Linked DNA regions of Schizosaccharomyces pombe. The protein of the gene in region 2 binds, or shares a complex with, the protein of the main gene of each other region. Each region holds a gene or a part of one and is shown on either strand. Other genes may lie near its edges.

The links.
Region 1: cog8 (region 2) and cog4 share a complex: the UniProt entries of both Schizosaccharomyces pombe proteins name them as parts of the conserved oligomeric Golgi complex.
Region 3: cog8 (region 2) and cog2 share a complex: the UniProt entries of both Schizosaccharomyces pombe proteins name them as parts of the conserved oligomeric Golgi complex.

What each region holds. Positions count from the first base shown.
Region 1 is NC_003421.2:1,350,480-1,357,965, reverse strand, and holds cog4 (COG complex subunit Cog4), read left to right. Parts: upstream 1-3,520; 5' UTR 3,521-3,756; coding exon 3,757-5,973; 3' UTR 5,974-6,492; downstream 6,493-7,486. Other genes in the region: cox5 (cytochrome c oxidase subunit V), read right to left, coding at 1-100; efm2 (methyltransferase Rrg1), read right to left, coding at 729-1,640; proteinase B inhibitor Pbi2, read left to right, coding at 2,457-2,690; ado1 (adenosine kinase), read left to right, coding at 6,882-7,486. UniProt on the Schizosaccharomyces pombe protein: Component of the peripheral membrane COG complex that is involved in intra-Golgi protein trafficking. COG is located at the cis-Golgi, and regulates tethering of retrograde intra-Golgi vesicles and possibly a number of other membrane trafficking events.
Region 2 is NC_003423.3:1,486,360-1,493,197, reverse strand, and holds cog8 (COG complex subunit Cog8), read right to left. Parts: upstream 2,759-6,838; 5' UTR 2,588-2,758; coding exon 1,451-2,587; 3' UTR 1,244-1,450; downstream 1-1,243. Other genes in the region: random septum position protein, DNAJ domain protein Rsp1, read left to right, coding at 1-129; mrps28 (mitochondrial 37S ribosomal protein uS15m), read left to right, coding at 377-1,243; bifunctional histidinol-phosphate aminotransferase/imidazole acetol phosphate transaminase His3, read left to right, coding at 3,534-3,601, 3,657-3,668, 3,854-4,465, 4,525-4,987; mannosyltransferase complex subunit Alg2, read right to left, coding at 5,260-6,124, 6,273-6,726, 6,798-6,838. UniProt on the Schizosaccharomyces pombe protein: Required for normal Golgi function.
Region 3 is NC_003423.3:853,026-862,640, forward strand, and holds cog2 (COG complex subunit Cog2), read right to left. Parts: upstream 5,304-9,615; 5' UTR 5,195-5,303; coding exon 4,880-5,194; intron 4,818-4,879; coding exon 4,737-4,817; intron 4,686-4,736; coding exon 4,506-4,685; 3' UTR 4,368-4,505; coding exon of another isoform or gene 606-4,367; 3' UTR 501-605; downstream 1-500. Other genes in the region: spo9 (ER farnesyl pyrophosphate synthetase Erg20), read right to left, coding at 1-28, 78-212; elp1 (elongator subunit Iki3), read left to right, coding at 606-4,367; U2 snRNP-associated protein sap61, read left to right, coding at 5,463-5,662, 5,715-6,859, 6,915-7,048; phosphatidic acid transfer protein Ups2, read left to right, coding at 8,206-8,760. UniProt on the Schizosaccharomyces pombe protein: Required for normal Golgi morphology and function.

The DNA.
Region 1 (7,486 bases), on a different chromosome or scaffold from region 2:
TCTGCAAAGCGTTGGTAGCAGCAGCACTCACAGTAGCAGCATTGCGAGTGCAGAGAAGCTTCATTGGCACTTTTTTGCAGATAATTTTTGAAAGATACATAATTATTAGCTTAATTCAATAATTTAATGCTAAAAAGATCGAATTATAGAGAGAGGGGGAATTTGGGTGTGTAAGGAAGAAGGCCAACGCCAATCCTCGGGAGTCCCATTGGCACACTGTCGGAGAAATTAGGGTAGGGTTTAGCTTCGCATGCTGATTAAAGATCGAAAGTACGAAGGGTAAGTGAAATGTTTATGGTTAATTCTACTTTCTAATTTCTAGTCCTCCGTTTGAATTTGTAGAAAATAACTATGAAAGCTCATAGAGACGAAACGATACTAATGTGTTGCTTTGAATGAACGCGGAAGGATAAAAAAGTATTTACAAGAAAACAATCGGTAACTTTCTCAAATAGATTTTCTACTAAACCGTAATTCAGTATCGATGTCCTGTTGATCTAAACCAACCTACGCAATTTCGTTCCTCTAAACAGAAAAAAGCGGGCTCAAAAAGCCAGCTTTAAAACCAAAAGTGATTCCCTTTGATACTGTAAATAATACAAAAGAATCTATTGCTTTGCTATTAAAATCTAAAATTATTCAAACAAGGAAAAAATAAAACCCAATTATTTTGGCTCGCTTTTTCTAGTTTGCAACATGGTTTGACCTATAGATTGATACATTTTAAGTTATCCATGGTATTTCCATCTACTCCAACGACAAGTTACTGGGTATAGAGAGCCAAAGTCTTCTTCACCAATTTCTTCTCCCATTTGTCTTTCAAATCCGGCGGCGTCCATTCCCTTTTCAAACACACCTATTTCTTCCAAATGTGTTTCGCGAAGTGGATACTCTGTGATAACAATCCCGTCCTTAGCTAAATATTTACGAAACAGTGCAATGGCTAACTCGCCGAAATGAGTTTCATAGATACAATCACTTGCTATAATCCGTTGAAATGGTTTAATAAGCCATGATGGTCGGTTATCATCATCTGGGGGATTCATCCAATCTAATACATGACAGCTTACTGAACCCGCATATTGCTGGATAAGTTCAGAATTGTAATCAACGTTATACTGCATATTTTCTACTATATCTGGTAGATCTGTACATACAACTTGCCATCCTAATTGAATGGCTGCACTAATGCCAACAAGCCCAGTCCCAGCCCCTAATTCTAGCGCGTTAATGGAATTACTCAAATCTTCCCATTTGGGAAGATTTGCTGAAAGCAAGGGAGCAGACCCCCATGTTTTAAATCCTAAAGTATTATAGGTCATAGTGGGCTCTCGAAGAACTACAGAAACACCATTTGAAAGGGAAAATTCCCTCTTCCTAGTAGGAGCTGCAAGTCTACCACTACGCTCTGCAATTCGTTCACAAATCGTGCTAACCAAATAGTCTCGTTCCTCTTCAACTGTGATCCATTCCAAATTTGTAGCTAAGAGCTTGATAAGCCAATTGAGGATTATTTTCTCCTCATACTTAGGAAGGTCCCACAAGTGCTCCCCAGTAGGAATTTTGTCCAAAACATCTTTAATTTGAGAGTAAGAAGGCTGTTCGTGACTTAAAGGTAGATCCGTGTCTTCTAAAATCATTGTGATTTTTTTAAAATACCCAAAACCAGAGACGAAAAAGCAAAAACAAAAGAAATCCCAAAGACCCAAAAAAGACAGGAGTCAACCTGTTTTCCTTTGCAAACCAGCTAAATTTTAAACAAATGAGAATCCCAATTAACTACCTATGTGAGAGTATGCGTGAGAGACATACTATGATTAAGTATGGATAAAACGAAATTTCTCTCTTTACCATCCATGAGTCCAACTTTTCAAATTAGATCAAAGCTAGGTAACATGTACCTCGCAGGAGTGAAATCACGGTGTTGATCAAAAAGCAAGAAGCAATTTAAAAGCACTGGTTATTAAAGCATCTAATTTCTCAATTTCATTCTCACTCAACCGCCTATCCCAAAAATACAACTCAATTCCAATGGATGTATGTCTTTTCCAGACCGCGTTGTCTACACTGCGTGAAAAAAAGGAATAATGAGGAATATTGTGTCCCTATATGCAAATGCAATAGCCTTCTCAATGTACAATACGAAAATGTAATATATATTTTGTTATTTATTTTACCAAAGTTCTTTTGACTTTCGTTAAAAAGTATACTGAAAGAGAAAGAGCTAATAAATTGGCTAAGCAAGCAATGTGCACAACCGTTCTATTTAGATAAGCTGACCTACGTAATGCACATGGCGAATGCTATATAAACCAGCCTTTTCCCCTTTGCGCTCAATTCCTTCTTATCTGTACTACATAAGCTTGTTCATTTTTTGACAATTAAGTGAATTTTAAGTACAGCTAAAAAATCTGAAACGCTACTTTCCTTGTTTTTTTCGCCTTCGTTATTTCGCCATGAGTCAAAAGTCGTATATCGTTCAATTGAAAGATTCTGTTGATCCTGCATCGATGGATAAAATAAAATCTGATTTAGAGGCATCTGGTGCTAAAATTGGTCATACTTATGATACCGTATTTAAGGGATTCAGCGTTTCTCTTCCTGAGAATGCAGTAGATGCTTTGTCTGCTCATCCTGAAATTCAACATTTTGAGCCTGACCAAGAGATGCATACTATGAAGAAGGATTAGATTTCTCTCCTTACAGAAAGTTTCGCCTCCATATCAATTGCTTATAGTTGAGCTCGTCACTCGTCGCACGCATGCGTTTCTACACTCAAGTACTTTATGACATTTCATATACATCGTTATGATCAAACAAATACCAATTGTTAATTTGATGATTTTTTTTAGAATTAATTAGTAGGTCGGTCGCGTTTTACCATTTCTTTGTGTCGACCAATTCGACCGTAAAATAGTACACACATTTTTGTAATGTCTTAGTAATATTCGCTTCCCAGTAGTAACTTCCATAAAGATCTAGTTGTTTGGACGAGGAGAGGAATATTGGTACAGCAGTGGGAAATCGAGTAAAGGATTCAAGGTGAAAATAAATAAATAAAGAAAAAGAGAAGCAATTCTTAGAAGGGGGTATACATGAGTATGTTTTAGGTAGAACTGAGATGTTTAACATAGACTACCTTCTTTGTGAGTTGTTGTTTGGCCATCACATTGGTGACAAATATGCTGAAATTTCGAAAAACATGGATTTGTATTTAACAACGAGGCGTAGCAGAAAACCGTAAATTTTTAAAATACAGCTTTTGGAAATTGCTCTTCCATGACTTTTTATTACAGTTGTACTATAAGAATGAATGATTGCACAACAAAATATACTCTCCTATATTTCCTGCCTCACATCAAACATTTAAAGAACAACAGCGAACTCTCGCTATTAGAGTCTGCGATGTTGCGTTCTGTCAAATAATGATATTTATCGTCTCGTTAATTATTAGTTACTGGAATAGTATGATATCGTAAAGTTGACCATTTGCAATGCACTCAGTAACTCTTTTTTTAGTAGGAGTCAATTGTGCGGCATTTGGCAAGTTGAATGGGAGACGTTGCAAGGTTTACTAATTTATTTAAAAATTAATTAATTCGAAAATCAACTGACGACAACCCTTACTTTGGTTTCTTTCACTCTTACTTTGAGTTTTTTAATTGTTATTTTGCGCGGTTAATATTCACAACCTCGTAGATTTTTTGAGATAATTTGCGAACGCGTTTTAGTCTTTCTTTATTTAATGAGTGTACAATGGACATATCCATCAATGACTGCACTGATATCTCGCAAATTAAACAACGGTTTCATGACTTACAAGTCGAATCCCAACGAACCGACGAAAAGCTGGAAAGGCTGCTAAGCGATGCACAGCCGACTGAGAAGTTCAATTCTTTAATCAAGAATATGGCAGAACGTCTAGTGCTGTTTGTAGGTCAGATTGAAGAGCTTAAAGATGCTTTTTGCAATACCACTATCGTTAGCGAGGAGGTCATTGAGAGAATCAAATCGGTCGATAGAGAACAGAATCGTATAAAAGAGTGTCTTTTATTTGTTCGTCAAGTCCGAGATTTCAAAGAATGTTTGCAGGATCTCAACAGAGCTATGCATCACCAACAATGGGAAAAAGCAGCTGATTTAGTACATCGAGCAAGCTCCACATCGCCGGCTATCATCGAAGGGAAATTTGCACATGCCGTTGTTCCCACAGCTGAGCAACCTTTAGCGCCCATGGACACCTTAAAAGAAATCACCGAATCTCTACACACTCTCTTTTGGCGGGAATTCCATAAGGCCGCCCGAAATCAGGATCAAAAAGAAATCACTCGTTACTTCAAACTCTTCCCTTTGATCGGCAAAGAAAAGGAAGGATTAGAAGCTTATTGGCATTTTTTTGGTGGAATTATTGCTTCTAAAGCTAGGGCCACTCTCGATGAGCCCCCTACTCATGCTCTTTTTTTTGCACAGGCATTTACCGGACTGGTCGAGCATGTTGCTTCTATCATACGCGCACATACGCCTCTTGTTCAAAAATATTACAAGGCCAAAAACACCATCACCGTTATTGAAAAATTGCAAGGTGATTGTGATCGCCAAGGTTCCATTATCGTGAATACCATGTTTGACGTGAGAAGAATTGATAACCTCGTAAGCTCTATAGCTTCTTACAAATACATTTTGTTACATGCGAAGTTGAAAAATCGTGCCTTTGTTTCGGATCAAAAGGAATTAGAAAGGGTCTCTCTTCAAACGCTACATCCGATTTTGAATGAAATGTCAGCCATTGTCTCCAAATGGAATATCTCAAAAATATTTATTAGCCGTCTTGTCCTTCGATTGTCCCAATCTGATGGTACTTCGAATGATCCATCTGTCCAGGACAATCTTATTTGTGCATCTATTTTCAATTCTTCAAAGATGGAACTTCTGTTAAAAAAGCAACTTCTTCCATCCTTATTACAATTAGAAACATACTATTTCAGGAGAAGTATAGAAACGTCTTTGGAACTTGAGGAATATTACACAAAGGTTTCCCCATGGATGAGCTCTATTGTAGACGATGTCATGTACGTTACGAAGCAAGTATTCCAACGTGCGTTTTTTACAGTCTCCTCTTTATTCTTCACCAGATTTGTTAACGAAAGCTTAATCCCTATTTTAAGAAATGATTACTATGTCTACCTTTCCCATAATCTTTTAACTGTCTGTAACATTATAAAAGCTCAGTTCCAGAGGCTAAAGAATGCAAATAGCATTCCCGCCAAACAAGTCGAAAACTACATAACATTGGTAAATAGTGCTTCACTCAGCAAGCAATATCTAAAATCAATTGTGGATGGTGTTTCTAGTCGGTTGGAAGAAGTTTTTGCCTTTGCCAAAGACCAAAAATTGGTAAAGAAATCGATTGATAATTTTTTGCAGCTAACCGTTAATTTTGAAAATCTTTGCAAGACTTCTTTCAACATGTACTTTCCGATATTTTTATTACCCCGAATTGAGCAATGCATCGATGATTCCTTTGATGGAATCAACTATGTCTTGTCCTATGAAGACTATACGAAGGAGACAGAACATGAAAGACTGGTAGTTACCCGTCTTCGCAGCGTTTGGGACAGGGTTTTGTTGCTGGAGCAATTTACTCCTGAAAATCAGCTTTCTTTACGCTCTATGGCATGCGAGAAAGCTGCAAGTTATATAGAAAACCTCATACTATATAAGATTCAGTGGAATGATTATGGTGCTATGGCATTAGAAAACGACATTTCTAGCTTAATTACTATCTTTTCCAATGATCAAGCTAATCTCCGACATAGCTTTGAGCGTTTGCAAGAAATTCTAATCTTATTAGTATGGGAAAGTGATTCTACAGCCCCAGAGCAATTGATCAACGATTTAAACCTACAGCTACTATCCATAGATATTGTTAGCGCTATTATGGAAAAGAAAGCGAATGTTCAAGGTGAAGATTAACGACCTTTTTTATTCAGGATATTTGAAGAAGCACCAAAAGTTCTTTAGTTGTAATCTCCTGTCATATCCTAAATTTATCCTAAAAAACGGCGGATCATCGTCTCCACGTTTAGCATGATGCCGATATCTATTTTTTTTTCACTCTATTTTTGTTTTTATTTCTTTATTCGTATATTGAAAATTTTGACAACCGGCTACCCTGACGCAGTGCAACTCGATCATCATTTATCTTAGTTTATTATTTCTTCCACACTTTGATAAGTTTTCCGCTAAAAGTTGAAGCAACCCCTTTGTTAAAAAAATAATACAGGAATGGAGTTAATATTCATGACCAATTGTATATAGCATCAAATATCGACTCTTTTAATCTTTATTAGTTCTAATTTTTCTCGTGATCGGCCTTCTTAAATAAGTATTGTGATTATAATATACCGAGGCGCAAAGGAGTGTGATACAGTTTATATCGTTTAATTATGCAGTTTGCAATCAGTTTAATGAAGGTTAAAATTGCGATGAGTATTAGTTGTGACCTAGAATTCCAGTATACAGGTACAATAAGTAACATACACTGTCAATCTTCAGTTACATAGTATTATATTTTTCACCAATATAGCTAATAACTGAAATTGAGGATGCTTGTACAGTTATGCTTATATTGATAATTTTTTTAGCTGCTCAAATTTTAATAGTTTATTAAAAATAGTATGCCTTTACCATACAATATATAGCGAAAGATAAACAGACCATATGGCATGTATCGATATTTAACGCAGTATAGTATTAATAATATAACGCATTACAATTATGCCATAATATCGCTCTTTGAACATTAAGATACTTTACCTGTTGGTGTATTTTCTCGTGGTTTTTCTTTAACTTTTTCCCTTCCCTTACTACAATCATTTATCATGTCTTCATACATCTTGTTTGGTTTGGAAAACCCTCTGTTGGATTACTATGTTGGTGGTGAAACTGCAACTCTTGAAAAGTATGGCTTGAAGAGCAACGACGCCGTCTTAGCTTCTGAGAGCCAGATGGGTATCTACAAGGAGCCATGCGTTAGCTACAGTGCCGGTGGTGCAGCTCAAAACAGCTGCCGTGCTGCTCAATACGTACTTCCTCCTAACTCTACTGTTTTCGCCGGCTGCGTTGGTCAAGATAAGTTTGCTGATATGCTTCTTGAATCGAACGAAAAAGCTGGATTACGATCTGAGTTTTCTGTTGATCCCACTACACCTACTGGTGTTTGTGCTGTCGTCTTGAGCAACAACAATAAAAATCGCTCCCTTTGTACCAACTTGGGAGCTGCTAACAACTACAAGCTCAAGGACTTGCAACAGCCGAATGTATGGAAGTTCGTTGAGGAAGCAAAGGTTATTTACGTCGGTGGTTTTCACTTGACCGTCAGTCCCGAATCCATGTTATGTTTAGCTCAACATGCTAATGAGAATAACAAGCCCTATATCATGAATCTTAGCGCTCCTTTCCTCTCTCAATTTTTCAAGGAGCAAAT
Region 2 (6,838 bases):
TTAATTGATAATTGGAAGGAAGGGTCACAAGCTATACAGTTATTTTATGCATATGAACAAATGCATTTGAGAGCTTTGGAAGAACTACAATCTTTAAAGGAAAGCCTTTTCGCATCTTTTGGTATATAATGATTATTATTTCCTCATTAAGTATTAAATTTAGTATTAAAATTTTTATTTGAAAATTTTATTTCTTCTTCATAACGTTTAACATTCAATTTATTAATATTATTTTTTACCCAGTTCACTTACCCATACTTCAAGCATACACCAGAACCAACGACTTTGTAAAAAGGGCATGTGTTTAATAGCTTACTCAGGGAGCGAATTGTAGCACGACTTTTCATTTTATTTTACATTACTCAGTTAATTTAAGATGAGACTTTTTGAAGGGGCTTTTCAGCCTTGGAAATTGGCGTCTACAAACTTGATGCAACAATGCCTTTTATTAAACAAAAAGTCTCAGTTTCATACAACATGCATTTTACAAGGTTTAAAAAAACAAAAAGCCAACCAACGTCGCAAACAAAATTTGAAAAGAAGGGAAGAGCTGCGAAAGCAAAATTTGGATACATTAGCTGACCCTATCATCGGACATTCGAGTGAATGGATAGCGAGATTATTAAAGCCGTACGAAATATTGGTGGAAAGAAAGAAACCAAATTTTCCTATACGTAGTATAAAATTTCCTGCATCAATGGAAACAATCAATCTTATTGTAGAGAAATTTGAAAAGATTAGGGCCTCGGCTACAGAAGAAACTAAAGATTTTATAAAGCTTAATGAGGTTAACGAATTTCCTTCTAGTGATACATCTTTGGAATCAAATCAAGATGGATTCGAGCGACTTCATCCACTTGCTGAAAGGTTAGAAAGGATGAGTCAATTAAGCGATCTTAGAAAAGAGAGCATTCACCGTATATTTAATATTGAAAATTCGAATTCTAAGACCTTAAGGTTGAATAATAAACAGCTTGCTGTAGAATCCTTTGCTAGAAATGAGCGAGATACTGGAAGTCCTGAAGTACAAGCTGCTGTCTACACAAGTCGAATTTTAGCGTTAAGCGATCATTGCAAGAATCATAAAAAAGATCAAACTGGAAAAAGGATGCTTCGATACTATGTTCATCAACGTCAAAGGATGCTCAAATATTTACGGAAAGTAAATTTTGACAGATATGTCCATTGTATAAAAAATCTTGGCCTTACGGACGAATTAGTTTTACGAGAAGTCACGCAGTAATAATTTGACGAAATTTATATTTGAAGTTTCATATAGTTAAATTCCCTCTCACATGCTAATCTCTTAACTAGATGTTTAACAAACATCCTTATCAATCATTACTGTTTACACCTATTGGATAGTAAGTTTTTGGCTTAGCACTTACCCTTAAAATGAGTAATAAGAACAATTAATTATTTGTTTTTTTTTTTTTAGGAAAAAATATATCTACGCCTGTTTCTCAGAAGATTGAGAATGGATCATTTCTAACCATTCGCTACCAAGTATTTTGGAGAGTGGTATAGAAATGTCTGTTCCCACTTTCGTTAAGCTTTGATTGCAATAATAAAGCTGAAGGAGTAGTGAGAATTTGGAAGTAGAATCTTTAACATTGGGCATAAATTTTTGTAAGACATAGCAAATTTCAAGTTGTAGTTTACGAACGAAGGACGAAAGAATATTTTGACCAAAGTTATTGAAGCCTTCGGGATCCATTTCAAAAGGTGACGCTGAAGTGCTGGTGGAATTAGGTATATCTACTGTACCTGCAGCGTTTAAACGATCATTTGATGACTCACCGAATACACTTTGATATTGAAAAAGGAGAGAAAATGCGCGATCACGAATGACCTGTATATATCTCCGTAAGTACAACTCAGGATTATTGTAGTCAAGCAATGGCACTAAATTTCGAAGGCTTGTTTGTAGTTGTTTCCATGAAAAATAAAGAAAAACGTATTTCAATTGGGCTTCGGACAGTTTTGCAGTTACCCGGAGATAGGTCACTACTTTGATTAATGAGTAAAGCTTTAATGGCTTCTGTAGCTGTAAAATAAGTTTCTCAGTAAGTTTAACCACCAGCGTTTCAACTTGAGTAATTAGTTCTTGAATGATAGAGTTTGTACCAAATCGATCTTTTAATCGATACGCAAGTGCTTGAAATTCCAACGTTTCGGAAAAGTAATTCCTTTCGATACAAGCGTTCATCAACTCTGGTAATTCCAGTATACTACTTAATTGCGGCTGAACTTGATGCATTAGTTTTGCATCTCTGTAATGCTCTGAAATTGAAGTTAGAAAGTTTTGGCTTCTCTTGACAGGTTCATATAGCTGATTTGTATGTAAAACAAGCTCTTTAAAATCGTGTCTACTGTTCTCGAGAAGTTGATAAAAGGCATCTTGATTCCTAGCATAATCGACTAATACATTGTAATTGTCTCGTAACAGTTGCTGGCGTTTTTGCACCAATTTTAATTTTTGAGCATGCAATTCGGCTTTTCGTTTCTCCAGTTCTGCATACGGTTTCATAGTAAGATCTCGAACAAAAGCATCCATTTCCGTTACATTATCCCCTATACTATCCATGTCTTCAAGATCTTTAAGCTTTCAAGTCAGGTTGTACAGCAAAACAATTCTTAGTGAAAACGCGTAAAAAAATCATTCACAACTATCTTCTAAAAAAAAGAAACTAATAGAATCTAAAAGAGCTACACGTTTGGATGAATGCGTTACGAATATAAGTACCTTATGTGTAGTAAGGGTTGGAAAGCACCAGCCTTAATGTAAGGATCCATTCTCGAGTAGAAACTTGCATCTTCATCTTGGAACACTGGCTAGATTTTCCGATCGTTTTGTTTAAAGGATTTAAACAATATTTAATTAAAAAAGGTTGAGCAATAGTATTCGCATTTTCTTTGAATAAAATAAAGCAAAAGCGCTGCGACAATTTAATTTATTTAACTTTTACATAAATCGTAGGCCAAAAAGTTATGAATCCAAAATGGTTATCCTAGGTAATGAAATAGATTGTGAATAAGACTGGATTGAACTGCCTCATCTATGCAGCCTGTATAGTGAAAATAAAATAGCTAGATAAAAAGCATGTAGCAATTGAAACAACCTCATAAAATGTAATGAATTATGAATTTAAGTAACAAATATCTATTTCTCGGACGGCAAAAGTCTAGTAAATATGTGTTTTAATTTCAGCGAACTGTAAACAATGGTGCATTTTCTTTACAGCATTAGTATAGTAACGAAATTTTTATCAAGCTTTCAACGTTTTCTTTACTATTGCACTTATAATTGTATTTGGAAATGAAAGACATATGGAGCTTTATTTCTCTTTCCTCTTCAGGTTTCTGAATTTATTGGATATAATGACACGGTGATACACGTTGTAATGAATTAAAGACTCACATTGCTACACACTATATATTTATAGATATCACCTGCATCTTAGGTTAATTATTAATTAATCTCATCGATCGCTTTCTTCTTACTTTAACAAAAACACATCGAAAGAGATACGATGTTTGATTTGAATACTTGTCTTCGTAAAAATATCTTAGAACTTCAGCCTTATCGCTGTGCGAGAGAGTATGTAATAACTTGATAAACTAGAAAGCGTGATATATATTAACATAGAATATAGTGACTTCTCTGAGTATGTTTTATCTTTATATTTGGGTAATAATTGATATGAGGGCTACTTCTAGAAAGATATTTTATTAGCTGCTTGGAAAGCAATGAAGTACTCCCTGTTTACTGTTGTTGTTGGAGCTGGCGATTTCAGGCCTTTGTTGTTTTTTACCCTTTTCTCGCCTATATATTTTTTGCTAATCTTAATAGAGGTGTCCTTCTTGATGCCAATGAATGTGCTTATGGTTCGGTTATTTCCGTGGACGGTGTGGAATTCAATCGTTATCCGGATCCTAGACAGATCGAAGTAAAGCAAAGATTATGTGATTTGAGAAACAAAGAGCTTTCCATTACCAAGCCACTAACACCAGATAACATTTGCATGGGTGTTGGCAGCGATGAAATTATTGACTCCTTAATTCGCATTTCTTGTATTCCTGGAAAAGATAAGATTTTGATGTGTCCACCTTCGTACGGAATGTATACGGTCTCTGCAAAAATCAACGATGTTGAGGTTGTTAAGGTTCTCCTTGAACCAGATTTCAATTTGAACGTCGATGCTATTTGCGAAACACTTTCTAAAGATAGTGCCATCAAAGTCTTTTTTGCTTGTTCCCCTGGTAATCCAACAGCTAAGGCTCTTAAACTCGAGGATATTAAGAAGATTTTGGAGCACCCTACATGGAATGGAATCGTTGTCGTCGATGAGGCCTATATTGATTTCTCTGCTCCCGATATGTCTGCCTTAACTCTTGTCAATGAATATCCAAACCTTGCTGTTTGCCAAACCCTTTCGAAATCTTTCGGTCTAGCAGGAATTCGGTAAGTTAATCTAAGCTTTTAAGCATTAATATTATTTCTTTACTAACTATGATGTTTAGTATCGGATTTTGTTTGACAAGTAAACCTATTGCTACCATTATGAACTCATTAAAGGCTCCTTATAACATTAGCGAACCCACCTCTCGTTTAGCTTTGGATGCTTTATCCCCTCAGTCGATTGATAAAATGCATACATATAGAGATGCTATTATACAGCAAAGAGTTCGTCTTTGCAAAGAGCTTACTACCATTAAAGGAATGGGCAAGATTATAGGTGGTTATGATGCAAATTTTATCCTCATTCAGGTTTTAGATAGACCAGAAGGAGGTAAGCCTAGTAACGATGCCGCAAAATATCTTTATTTACAAATGGCCACGATGCACAAAGTCGTTGTTAGATTTAGAGGTACAGAGCCTCTTTGCGAAGGAGCATTGCGTATCACTGTTGGCACAGAAGAAGAGAATACGATATTACTAAAAACTATTAAACTTGTATTGCAGGAATACTATACAAAAAAATGAGGTTTCCTTTTCTGGCCTATTAGAACGTTTCAATTAGACAAATTATAACTCTTTCCTTTCCCCTTCCGGACTCGTCACATTTCTTTTCTGATGTACCCAATATATTTTGTGTTCGCTAATTGCGCTTGCATTCCTTCTTTCTTTATTAAAATACGTTTTCTTCCTTTTTGGTGTGTTTCCGTATAGTTCGATAAGCAATGAAAAGATGTTATTTTTAATTTTGTAAAGGAGTTACGCTAATTTAAAGGATTATAACCCGTGTAATAAAAGAATTAAAGATTCGTTAGCTTTGCATAGACAGTGAAAGTTAGAAATGACACTGAAACTATACAAGTTCCTAGCATAAATCCGAGTTTTACGCTTGAATACGTTTGAGCGAAATACAATTTGATTATGGCGAAGGGAACAGTTGCAGCGATAATGCATGTCCCCCAAAATAGCATAAATAGAACAAAGACAGCCAACAGTCCATTCACGCGTCTCATTAATCTTTTTTCGGGCGTGATTGATCGTATTCCAGACATTATTTCCGATTCGAATTTTCGAGCCATTGCATCTGTAGAAAATTCATTCTTCACCCATTCACTCCCTGCTTCACCCATGGCAGCAGTATCATATGTAGTACTAGTAGTCGCTTCATATATAACATTTCCCCAAATTTTCGCGTCTCTAGGACGAAGCCAACCATTCTTTCCATCTATAACCGTTTCCAAGGGCCCACCATTCGTTTGGGCTAATACTGGAACTTTACGAAGCATGGCTTCCAAAGGGACAATACCAAAATGTTCATTTTCAGGAGTGTAGAGCAATATTCTAGAAGAAGAAATTAAAGCATCCCGAACCTTTGAAGGAACTGATAATAAAAACAATACATTGGTAGAAGGAGCAACAGTTATGTTATCCCAATTATCTTTTACAGTCGTATAAGAAAGATCCTTTTGTTCACAAAATTCCTGCAATTCTTTTAAATATCGACGATTTTCTGAAACACGAATATCGTAGCCACCGGCTACTAAAAGCAAGTATTCAGGAAATCGGTTAGCAGAAAGATCGCGCAATGCACTAAAAGCATCGATTGCAAGTCGAATATCCTTCTTCCTTTCAAATCGGTTGACGGAAATTAAAAGCTTTCGTTGACTATAACGTAAATACCTTATAATCAAATGGAAAGGAAACGTAGAAAGGGAAATCATTTCATGACAATCGATTTCCGTTTCTTTCTATTCCATAGATATAAGATATTTCCAAAGTTAGTAAAAATTCAAAGCACTAAAGGAAGACATACAGAATTTTTTCAGGGAGTTGAAACTCCAAAGGCTTGCTAGCTGCCTCTATATCAACGCAAGGATGAACGATTCGAAGGGGCTTACGAATTTTTGGAAATGCTTTTTTGAAGACGGAAGCTGTAAACTTGCTATTAACAACAATTCGATCTGCAAGTCGAACAGACTCTGCTTCAACCGTATCAAAAGGAATACGATACAACTTTTTAAGGATTCCACCGCGTTTAGCAAGATATTTGTCAGGAAAATGACAATAAAAAAGGATCATCTGGCTAGCCAAAAGAAGAAATGGAACACATGTTGAAAGCTGATCTACAATAATAGCGTCAAAGTGCATGTAATTCGTCAGAAGGATCATCGTCAAGTAGACTTGTCTGAGAGAGCTGCAGAAAATGCTGAGCCTGCCAAATATAGAAGAAGGAAGCCAATCACCATATACCTTTACCTTTATAGTACCTATTATTTCATAAAGTTAGATATATATAAATGCCATCATCAATCCTCAACTAGCAATTCCAGGCACCTACCATCGCGTATTTCTTCGAAACAATGTTTTTTATCACAATGA
Region 3 (9,615 bases), 640 kb from region 2:
TTCCTCCTAACGTATTTCTCTTTATGGACTAAATGAAGGTTAGCTGTCGCGTTATAAAGGCAAGATAATCAACTTACATATAACAGCTTCTCGGTTTCTTCGGGGAAGTATTGCATGCTTTCTAAGATTTCACGAATTCCTTCGAGAACGACTGGGAAGAAATCTAGAAGTCTTTTCTTAATGCCATTTTTTTCATTAAAATCGTTGACCATTTTAGTATTTTTAATTGTACATGTATAAGAACCAGCTTGGTATAAGACTGAGAACTAGCACAGGTCTTCTATGAGAAAATATTATTTAAAATGACAAATAACCACAATTCTTGAATATAAAATTTGCAAATTACGCGTGAAAGCGCGTTACAAATTTATCTCGTTTTTAAGAATCAAGTATATCGATCAAAAACACTATACTTATTTGAAACATCTATTTGGTCCTAAATTTTCAAGACAATTAGGATGTTTATCTAATGCTTAAAGTTTAGTAGAAATATAGATTTAGGACTCCTTTGGTGGTGAGGGCAAACCATATTGCCTTCGCGCTCGCAACGCAAAATTGAGGATTACTGGCGTTCATGATGCTTCACCAGCAATAGCACACACACCATGAAAAATTTGGTAACACACCTGCATCATGTTTTTCCAAATGTAAATGGCTCAATTAAAGCCTTGGCTTTTAACAGTATAAGTGATAAAATTTACGTGGTTTGTGGTTTGGATAATGAGAATCCTGGGATCGAGATATATGAAATATCTGAAAATGACGATGTCTCAAAATTAGTTGAATTTGATTCTCCCTCTTTCGTTTCAGATAATGGGGACATTGATGAGATTCAAAGCATGCAGTTTCTTGGAGAACCCATGGCTATATGTTTATCATTGAAAGGAGGTGACATTGTGATGGTAAAAGTAGACCCATCGCCTGAGGAAGCGCCTTGGGAAATAATTGGCAATGTTGAGAATGGCATTGTTGCTTCATGTTGGTCAACTGATGAACAGGTTTTTTGTATCATAACGGGTGGAGATACTATTTTGTTTATGACTAAAAATTTTGATATCATTTCAGAAACTTCTCTATCTGATGCGGATTTGAATGAATTTAATAAGCATATTTCTGTTGGTTGGGGTCGTTCTGAAACCCAGTTTCGAGGAAAACGAGTTCGTGCTAAATTACGAGATCCTACGCTTCCTGAGAAAATAGATGAGGGTAAACTTTCTGATGTTGACGATGGCAAAACTTATATTTGCTGGCGTGGTGATAGTCAGTATGTTTCTATAAACCGTCTGGAAAAGGGACCACGTCGTGCTATTCGTGTTTATTCTCGTGAAGGTTTGTTGGATAGTATTAGTGAGCCACAAGATGGGCAACAAAGTTTGCTTTCATGGAAACCATCTGGATCCGTTTTAGCAACAATTAAGTCAGATAGTTCCGATAATTCCTCTAAAGTCATCTTTTTTGAACGCAATGGACTCCGTCATGGAGAATTTTCGTTACGTCGAAGGGAAGACGAAAAGTATACTGGATTGGCTTGGAATGTTTCATCATCAATTCTGGCCGTTTCGACCGAAAATTCAGTGATGCTTTGGACAACCGGTAATTATCATTGGTATTTAAAGAAAGAAATCAACATTCCTCAAAATGCATTAATTAGTTGGCATCCAGAGCATGCCAATACGCTTTACATAACTGGAAAAAATCACATAGAAAAAGTGGTTTTTGACCTCAAATATGTAACAGAATTTTCTACTTCTCCAAACGATTTTGGCCTCATACCTGTCATCGATGGCTCTTCGCTGTTGGTCACACCGTTGTCTTTGTGTAATATTCCCCCTCCTATGTGTCGTTATAAATTGTCTTTAGACTATAATGTACAAATGACTTCGATAAACGCAACATCTGACATGCTTTTTGCTGCTGATGATAGGCGCTTGACGGCGTTTACTTTTAACTCACAAGAAGATATTGCTAAATTTGGAGAATTCGATATCTCGACGTATGCTGAAGGTCTGAATTTTAAAAGTCTTCTTGGTTTATCAGGAAATCAGGTTCTGTTGTTGGCAGATGGCACAAATAACTGTTCAAAGTTTTTTGTTTTTCAATGTGACGAAGACAATGAGTCCTTGAAACTTTTGGCTTCCGAAAGTTTCGAAAGTTGCATACTTAATGCCTCCTACTGTTCGGAAATGCTATTTTTTCAAACTTCAAGTGGAAAACTTATAAGTTACAATTTGAATGTAAAATCAATTGAATCCATTTCTTTGTCGTTTCCCAAACCCTGTTCTGATTTTGTTGTAGTTCCTGTCCATGAAACCTTTGTTCCTATAGGTCTCACTTCGTATGGCAGGTTGTATGCTGAGCAAAGACTATTGAGCACAGGCGTCTTATCGTTTTTCTGCACCGAAAGATTTGTATTATTTACAACAACTAAAAATCTACTTAAATTTGTACACTTGGTTTCTACCGTTGATGATCTGCAAGTTGTAGAAGACGATGCTGTGGATCGACACGATGAGCGATGCCGCGTGGTTGAAAGAGGGTCGAAAATTGTTGCCAGTATGCCTTCGAAAATGGCAGTGGTTTTACAAATGCCTAGAGGAAATTTAGAAACCATTTACCCTAGAATTATGGTTCTTGACGGAGTACGTACGTATATTAAAGCTTTAAAATACGGTGATGCTTTCAAGGTTTGCCGCACTCATCGTCTTGATTTAAATATACTATTTGATTATGACCCAGATTTATTTTTGAAAAATATTCCTGTTTTTGTAGATGGGCTGTACCGTGTCGATTATTTAGACTTGTTTCTCACTTCTTTAAAGCCTGAAAACGTTACTACAGGGATGTACAGTGATACATCCAAGTCACAGTCTCAGCAATCTGTCACTACCATTGACAATAAAGTTAATTTATTGTGCAAGATTATTCGCGAACATCTGACTTCAAAATACGGTGATACACATTTTCAAGCAATAATTACTTCCTATCTTTGCGAAAGCCCTCCAAAAATTGAAGCAGCTTTAGGCATGATATCTGGACTAATTAAGGCTCAGTCTGAAACCGTAGATCTGGCAATCGAGCACATGTGCTTCTTGGTCGACGTCAATATGTTATTTGATCATGCATTAGGGCTGTATGATCTAAAATTAGCCCTTTTAATTGCCCAGCAGTCTCAAAAAGATCCTCGTGAATATGTCCCATTTTTACATGAATTTCAAAAACAGGAATCACTTCGCAGGAAGTTTAATATAGATTGTTATCTGAAGCGGTATGAGCGAGCACTAGGACATCTAAAGGAAATGGAAAATGCGTTTGATGAATTCAAAAACTTTACTATTCAACATAAGCTGTACCCTCGAGCATTAGAGTTATACAAGTATGACAAGGAAGCTCAAAAGGAGGTTTTAATTATATTTGCACAATACCTTCGAGAAAATGGTAAATCAAACGAAGCTGCAATTGCTTATGAATCTGTTGGAAAGATCAGTGAAGCCATCGAGGCGTATAAAAGCGCCGGAATGTGGAGGGAATGCTTGTCCATTTTACAGCAGACTACAAATTCAGAAGATTTAATCCGGGAAACTGCTGAAGATTTGGCTAGCTTGTGTATTGAGAAACGGGAACATTGTGATGCAGGTAGCATCAACTTACTATACCTTTCGAATCCAAGAGAGGCAGTCATTCAAATGTGCAAAGGTTCACAATATTCTGAAGCGATTCGGATTGCTCGCGCCACCGGTGATTCATCTATATATAAGGACTTACTAATTTCCGTTCTTGGGGAGTCATTTGGTGAAGCTAGTGAATTGGTTGCCGACTTTAGAAACCAAATCAAGTCACAAACCGAAAGAATATTAGTGCTTAGAGAGAAGAAAAAAGAAGATCCTATTAGTTGGATGGAGGGGACTATGGAGGACCAAACGCCTGATGACATCTCACTAGCATCTACAAGTCTCTCAACAAACAGGTCTTTATATACGCAATACACCAAGAGTAGCAACTCGTCTAAAATGACAAGAAACACGTCAAAGAACAACCGACGTTTAGAGAGAAAACGCGCGAGAGGAAAAAAGGGAACAGTATTCGAAGAAGAGTACCTTGTCAATTCCTTACGGAGGTTGATCGCTCGTGTTGAAGAAATTCGACCTGAGGTGCATCGTTTGCTCGAAGCACTAGTACGCTGTAATATGACCACCCAGGCTTCAGAACTTCAACGTAATTTTGCAAATGTTATAGGTACTATTGGTGAGAAAGTTATTCCCATTCTTTCTGTTCCTGTTAGCACCTTTGAGACTGCTCTTGGAGAACAACCACAAGCACCGGTTGTTCCAAACGTTAAACCTTTTGAAAAATTGAGTATTTTAATATAGGGTTAGGATTGGTTTTGGATAAATGGGGAAATTTTTTCATTTACATATAGATTTACATTTAGTATATCTTCAATATTTATACAAAAGCTTAGATACGTAAATCCTGGAACAAAATAGTTAAGCAGAAACTGTTAAACACTAATGCTTAATGTAGTTAATTAGAGTAGGTGAAATAGATTGTACCCATGGATGATCTTTATATGTATCACATAAACGTTGAGCATTGTTAAGACTTTCAAGCCAAAGTGGATGTGATGAATCATTACTTTTGAGGAATTTTAATATTTGGTCAAGTAAAAGCAAATTAGAAGCAATTAGCTAGATGTATTAGCATAATGACCAACTTATTTGGGACTTGCGTTATTTTACCTTTTCGTTTTCAACGTCTTGTTTGTGCTTCAAATTATTTTGAATTTCAGTTGAATGCCCGATTAAGGATTGCTTCGAATTCTTTAAGCGAACTGTTAGTAGACTGAAACTAAAAATATAGTGTTTGTAGTTATTTGTATTACCTTTAATTGCTCTTCTGAACGATGTATTGAAGAAATCAGGGTACTAACTTTAGTATTTCCGCTCTTCATTCTGCTTCCAAGGTGAACAAAATCTTGGTAGTTATCTTTTACTAGTAGCATTAATTCATTATTGACCTGCTCAAACAGTCGACTTAATTCATTTACTAAACCATCAAGACCTAAAAATCTTTTGGAAACAAGAAATTCATCGGGTGAAAACGGTCCATCTTTACGAAGTTCTTCTGTGTTTAAATAAGCATCCGATAAAAACGCGTCAACCAAGTCAGAACCACTATCTGCGTCTTTTTCAGTCATGGTAAATAAGGAAAATGCACGATCGTTAATGTAGAACTTTGAAGTACAAATCTACTACCATCTCTAGTAAATCATGGAAGATGAATTTCGATTAGTAGAACAGCACGATGATGGACTAATATGCAAACAACGATGGATATATAGTAAATGATTATGTTGTTAGACACTACATGCATGTTGATTTAGTGCAACTCAACGTATTACTCTAGCGAAGCAATTGCAGCATAAATTCTTCTAAACACCAGTAAATTAAGTTAAAACTTTACAAATGTCAGAAAGCGTGCTCGAGACTGAAAGGTACGCGCACGAAGAGCTAGAAAGGCTGCAACAAGCTATTGTTGATAGACAAGTTGCCAACCCTAAGGCTCCTCGTGAACGGCTTCGGCTTGAGCATCAGAGTGCACAATTTCTTAACCAATTTCGCGAAACTAGCAAAAAGTTGTTAGTTTCCCATGAATCCTCTGATCGGTAAGTAAAATCAAGAAAATTGTAGTATTGACCGCTAACTTGAATTCGCTAGATTAAAGGATCAAGAAGTTGCGCGTATCAATGCAGACGATGATTTAACAGAGTTTTATAAATCGCTGGGAGAGATCCAAGAGTTTCACAAAAAATATCCTGATCATAAAGTTGAGGATCTGAGTCAATTATATTCCATAAAGCCTTCTCAACCCGGGATTGACGAGATTGACACGTTATTTCGAGGTGAAGAGATGTATGGTCGATTTATGGATCTTAACGAATGTTACGAAGAATATATAAACTTAAGCAATGTACAGCATATTTCTTACTTAGAATATTTGAAAAATTTGGAGGATTTTGATCAAATCCCCAAGCCTGAAAAAAATCAAACATATATCAACTATATAACTCATTTATACGAATACTTGGTGTCCTTTTATCGCCGGACACACCCTCTGTCAAACTTGGATAAGATTATTGCGGTTTTTGATACTGAATTCGACGCAGCATGGGAAGCTGGACTTCCTGGTTGGTATTCACACAACGCTGAAGCCGAAAAAGATGGGAAAGACTCGACGGAAGCATTTTATTGTGAAGTTTGTCAAAAGTTTTTTGGGAAGATCACTGTATTTGAAGCTCACAAAAAGAGCAAAGCACATAATAAGGCCGTTAAGAGGATGCAGTCTTCTAGTCCATCTACCACAAGTAATACGAACGAGAAGCAAAAAGGACCTAAAGCGATTGCCCGTATCGAGTTTTTAATAAAAAAGTTAACGTCTTTGCTTGACGATGTTCGAAAGGATACTCGTGAAAATGTTGTTCGTCGACAAACTTTGACGGCTGCAGAACGTTTGGCAGAAGTAGAGGCTGCGGAAAGAGAAGCCTTTGAACAATCGACTCCAAGCGTAAGTGTTGAGGGAAATCAGGATGAGGAAAGTGATCAGGATGATGAGGAAAAGATATATAACCCTTTGAAGCTGCCATTGGGATGGGATGGTAAACCTATTCCATTCTGGCTTTGGAAACTCCATGGCCTTGGTAAAGAGTTTCCCTGTGAAATTTGTGGAAATTACGTGTATATGGGTAGAAAGGCATTTGATAAACACTTTACTGAACAAAGGCACATATACGGGTTAAAATGTTTAGGAATATCACCTTCACCTTTATTCAATCAGATTACTTCTATTGATGAAGCTTTGCAACGTAAGAAAAAAATGATTGTATTTGGTGAGTTTATGTTACTAACGAAAATTTTTAGTTTGGCAAAAGTACAAGGTGGACTCAAAGAAGCGGGAAACCACAATGGCGTCTCTCAATGAAATGGAAGATGACGAAGGTAATGTGATGTCTGAAAAGGTTTACAACGATTTAAAGGCCCAAGGTTTATTATAAATAACGTACATGACTCAATTTTTGTAGTCGTGTAAGTGTACATTAAAGAAATAAAAAATTGATATTTTCTTCCTACTTGAGTTATAAAATGCTGAGCATGCTCCTTTATTCTTCTTTGCGTTACATACCGAAGCAAACGAAAAGAGAAAACATGAAAGCTAAAAGGCATACTATTTTGAATTCTCGTGACACAGCATGTTTTGATCTTTTATTTCCCCCCTTTCTTTTTGATTGCGAAATTTTTGATAGTTTCTCATAGCACTGCTCAACGATAGATCTCCTCCCGGCATTTTGACGATCTAAGGCCCAGTTGGGTTTGATTGAAATTCTAGAGTTCTGTTATCTTTTACGTATACGCTTCTACGGGCTAGTTAGTGTTTGATGTAGCAAATGCTATAATTTTCTCAAGCATAATAAAACAATGAGTCTTGTGCATTATCACCGTATTAAAAAAAAAAAAAACTAAAACAAATAAGAATTATTTCAGCTAGAAACCAAATCCAACTCCTTCATAAGAGATAGTGTTGTTAATACATAAAGTACATATTTTATATAAATTTCTATATATCTTTTATCCATAAACATAATTAAATGACACTTTTAAAAACCCATTAGTATAATATAGGCCTTATTCCGCTTTGGTGCGTTATTATATATAGTGCATCGTAAACTACAACCTTATAAAAAGTGCGATGCATATCCTCTGTCGTACCCCACCTCCACCAAATGCATTGATTCGCTTATGGCTATAGTTTAAGTAAAAATGGTTAATTATTGGAGCTCCTTTGTCCCGCCAACCAGAAAACCGCATATAAAAATAGTTCCGCTCCACTGCTCTGTACATAAAAAAAACCATACACTAAGAAATTGTACATTAGTTAAAGATCCCAAAAAAAGCATATTTTACTTACGGGCTGATTTCAATTTAAAACAAACTCGAAAAGTAAAGGTGCATCAGTTAGTAGATCTTACCTCAGAAAAAAATTAAAGAAAAATCTTACGAGCGGCCCAGAAAGAAACTTTTGGTTTTCTTAGTTCTTGAGAGACAAAAGTTAATAGCTAAAAGAAGTTAGCTAACTTTTTTGATTTAAAAGGGTCATTCATTCTTTTTTTTTTACTTAGTTCACGTAAAATTTCATAAAATTTAGGTATCCTAAATGAAGATTTTTGAAAGTTGCCACTTATTTCAATATCCTTTTGAACAAGTTTCAGCGGCTCACTGGCAGAAGTATCCCAATGAGCATGCTACTCATGTGATAGCCGTGGATACTCTTGATCGCAAGGTTTTGGATAATGGTGTATTGTATACGGAACGCTTGATCACGTGTCACCAGGCCCTTCCTAGATGGATTTTAAAATTGATTGACGGTGCGCAAGATTGTTATATTCGAGAAACTAGCTATGTTGACTTGAAAGCGCGCACTTTAACACTTTTAACCTCAAACTTGACGTTTAGTGATCGTTTGAGAGTAGATGAGACGGTGACTTACTCACCCCATCCTGAACTGGAAGCTACTGTTTTTCAACAGGAGGCTCGAATTGAAGCCTTAGCGTGTATGAAGCGGTTGTCAAACCTGATCGAACAATGGTCGGTTGATGGTTTTGGAAAGAAAGCTTCCCGTGGAAAAGAAGGCTTCGAAAGTGTTTTAGAAAAAATAAACATGTCTGTATTCCAAACGCGACCGTTTGGTTCTTCTGAAGCGACCGCATAGACTTTGTTTCTTGATTCAACCTCTCTCTTTTTTCAAAAGTTTAAAGTTATCGGTTACGAAATAATCTTTTCTCCGTCAGTTGGCTTGCGAAATGTTGCAATAAGTCGTCTTTTAGTTTTCTGTTTCTCGTAATATTACTCCTCTAACCTATTTTTGATCCCCTCTCTTCTATTCTCGTTCTTTTAATTAAAAACTTCTTCAAGTTGATTGACCATTATCTATGTCTACGCTCAAAGATGTTTGTTGTTTTTAAAACAAAATGTGTGTCATATTTTTGACCAATACGACTTATAAGCTTTTTCCAAACATGTGTGTTTACAACTTTTATACCATTAATTTAATCGTCTATTTCCCCAAAAAATCGTGAATGCACAAATGATGATGCGCTATGTTAATCGCTTGCTTCTTTCTCCCCATGGAATAGGCTGCTTTCAAATCATCTATCTGAAAATTAAAAGGTTTATTCTTTCTTAAATGCAATATCTGTTTTACAAAACAAGATTGGACATCCACTCCTTTTTTTTTTTTAAAATTTAGTTAATATAATAACATTCATATAACAAGCGCCTAAATTATCATTGCTTGAATTATACAATTAATACATTTTGCATTCATGTGCAATTCGCATTTAAGTGTAATACGAAATCTGTAGAATTTGTGGCCAAGAACCAGTTTTCTTAAAAACTAAAAGAGAATTGTACAACCTCTCGCAATTATTAGTATTACCCATAACGTACTGAATAAAAGGAACGGGACTTTCTCTTTAGTGCCTGTCTCCTATACTTACCAGCCAACTTTAGTGAAGCGGAAAGTGTTGTCCCGGAGTTTCATCCGTCTTCCAACCGCTACCGACAC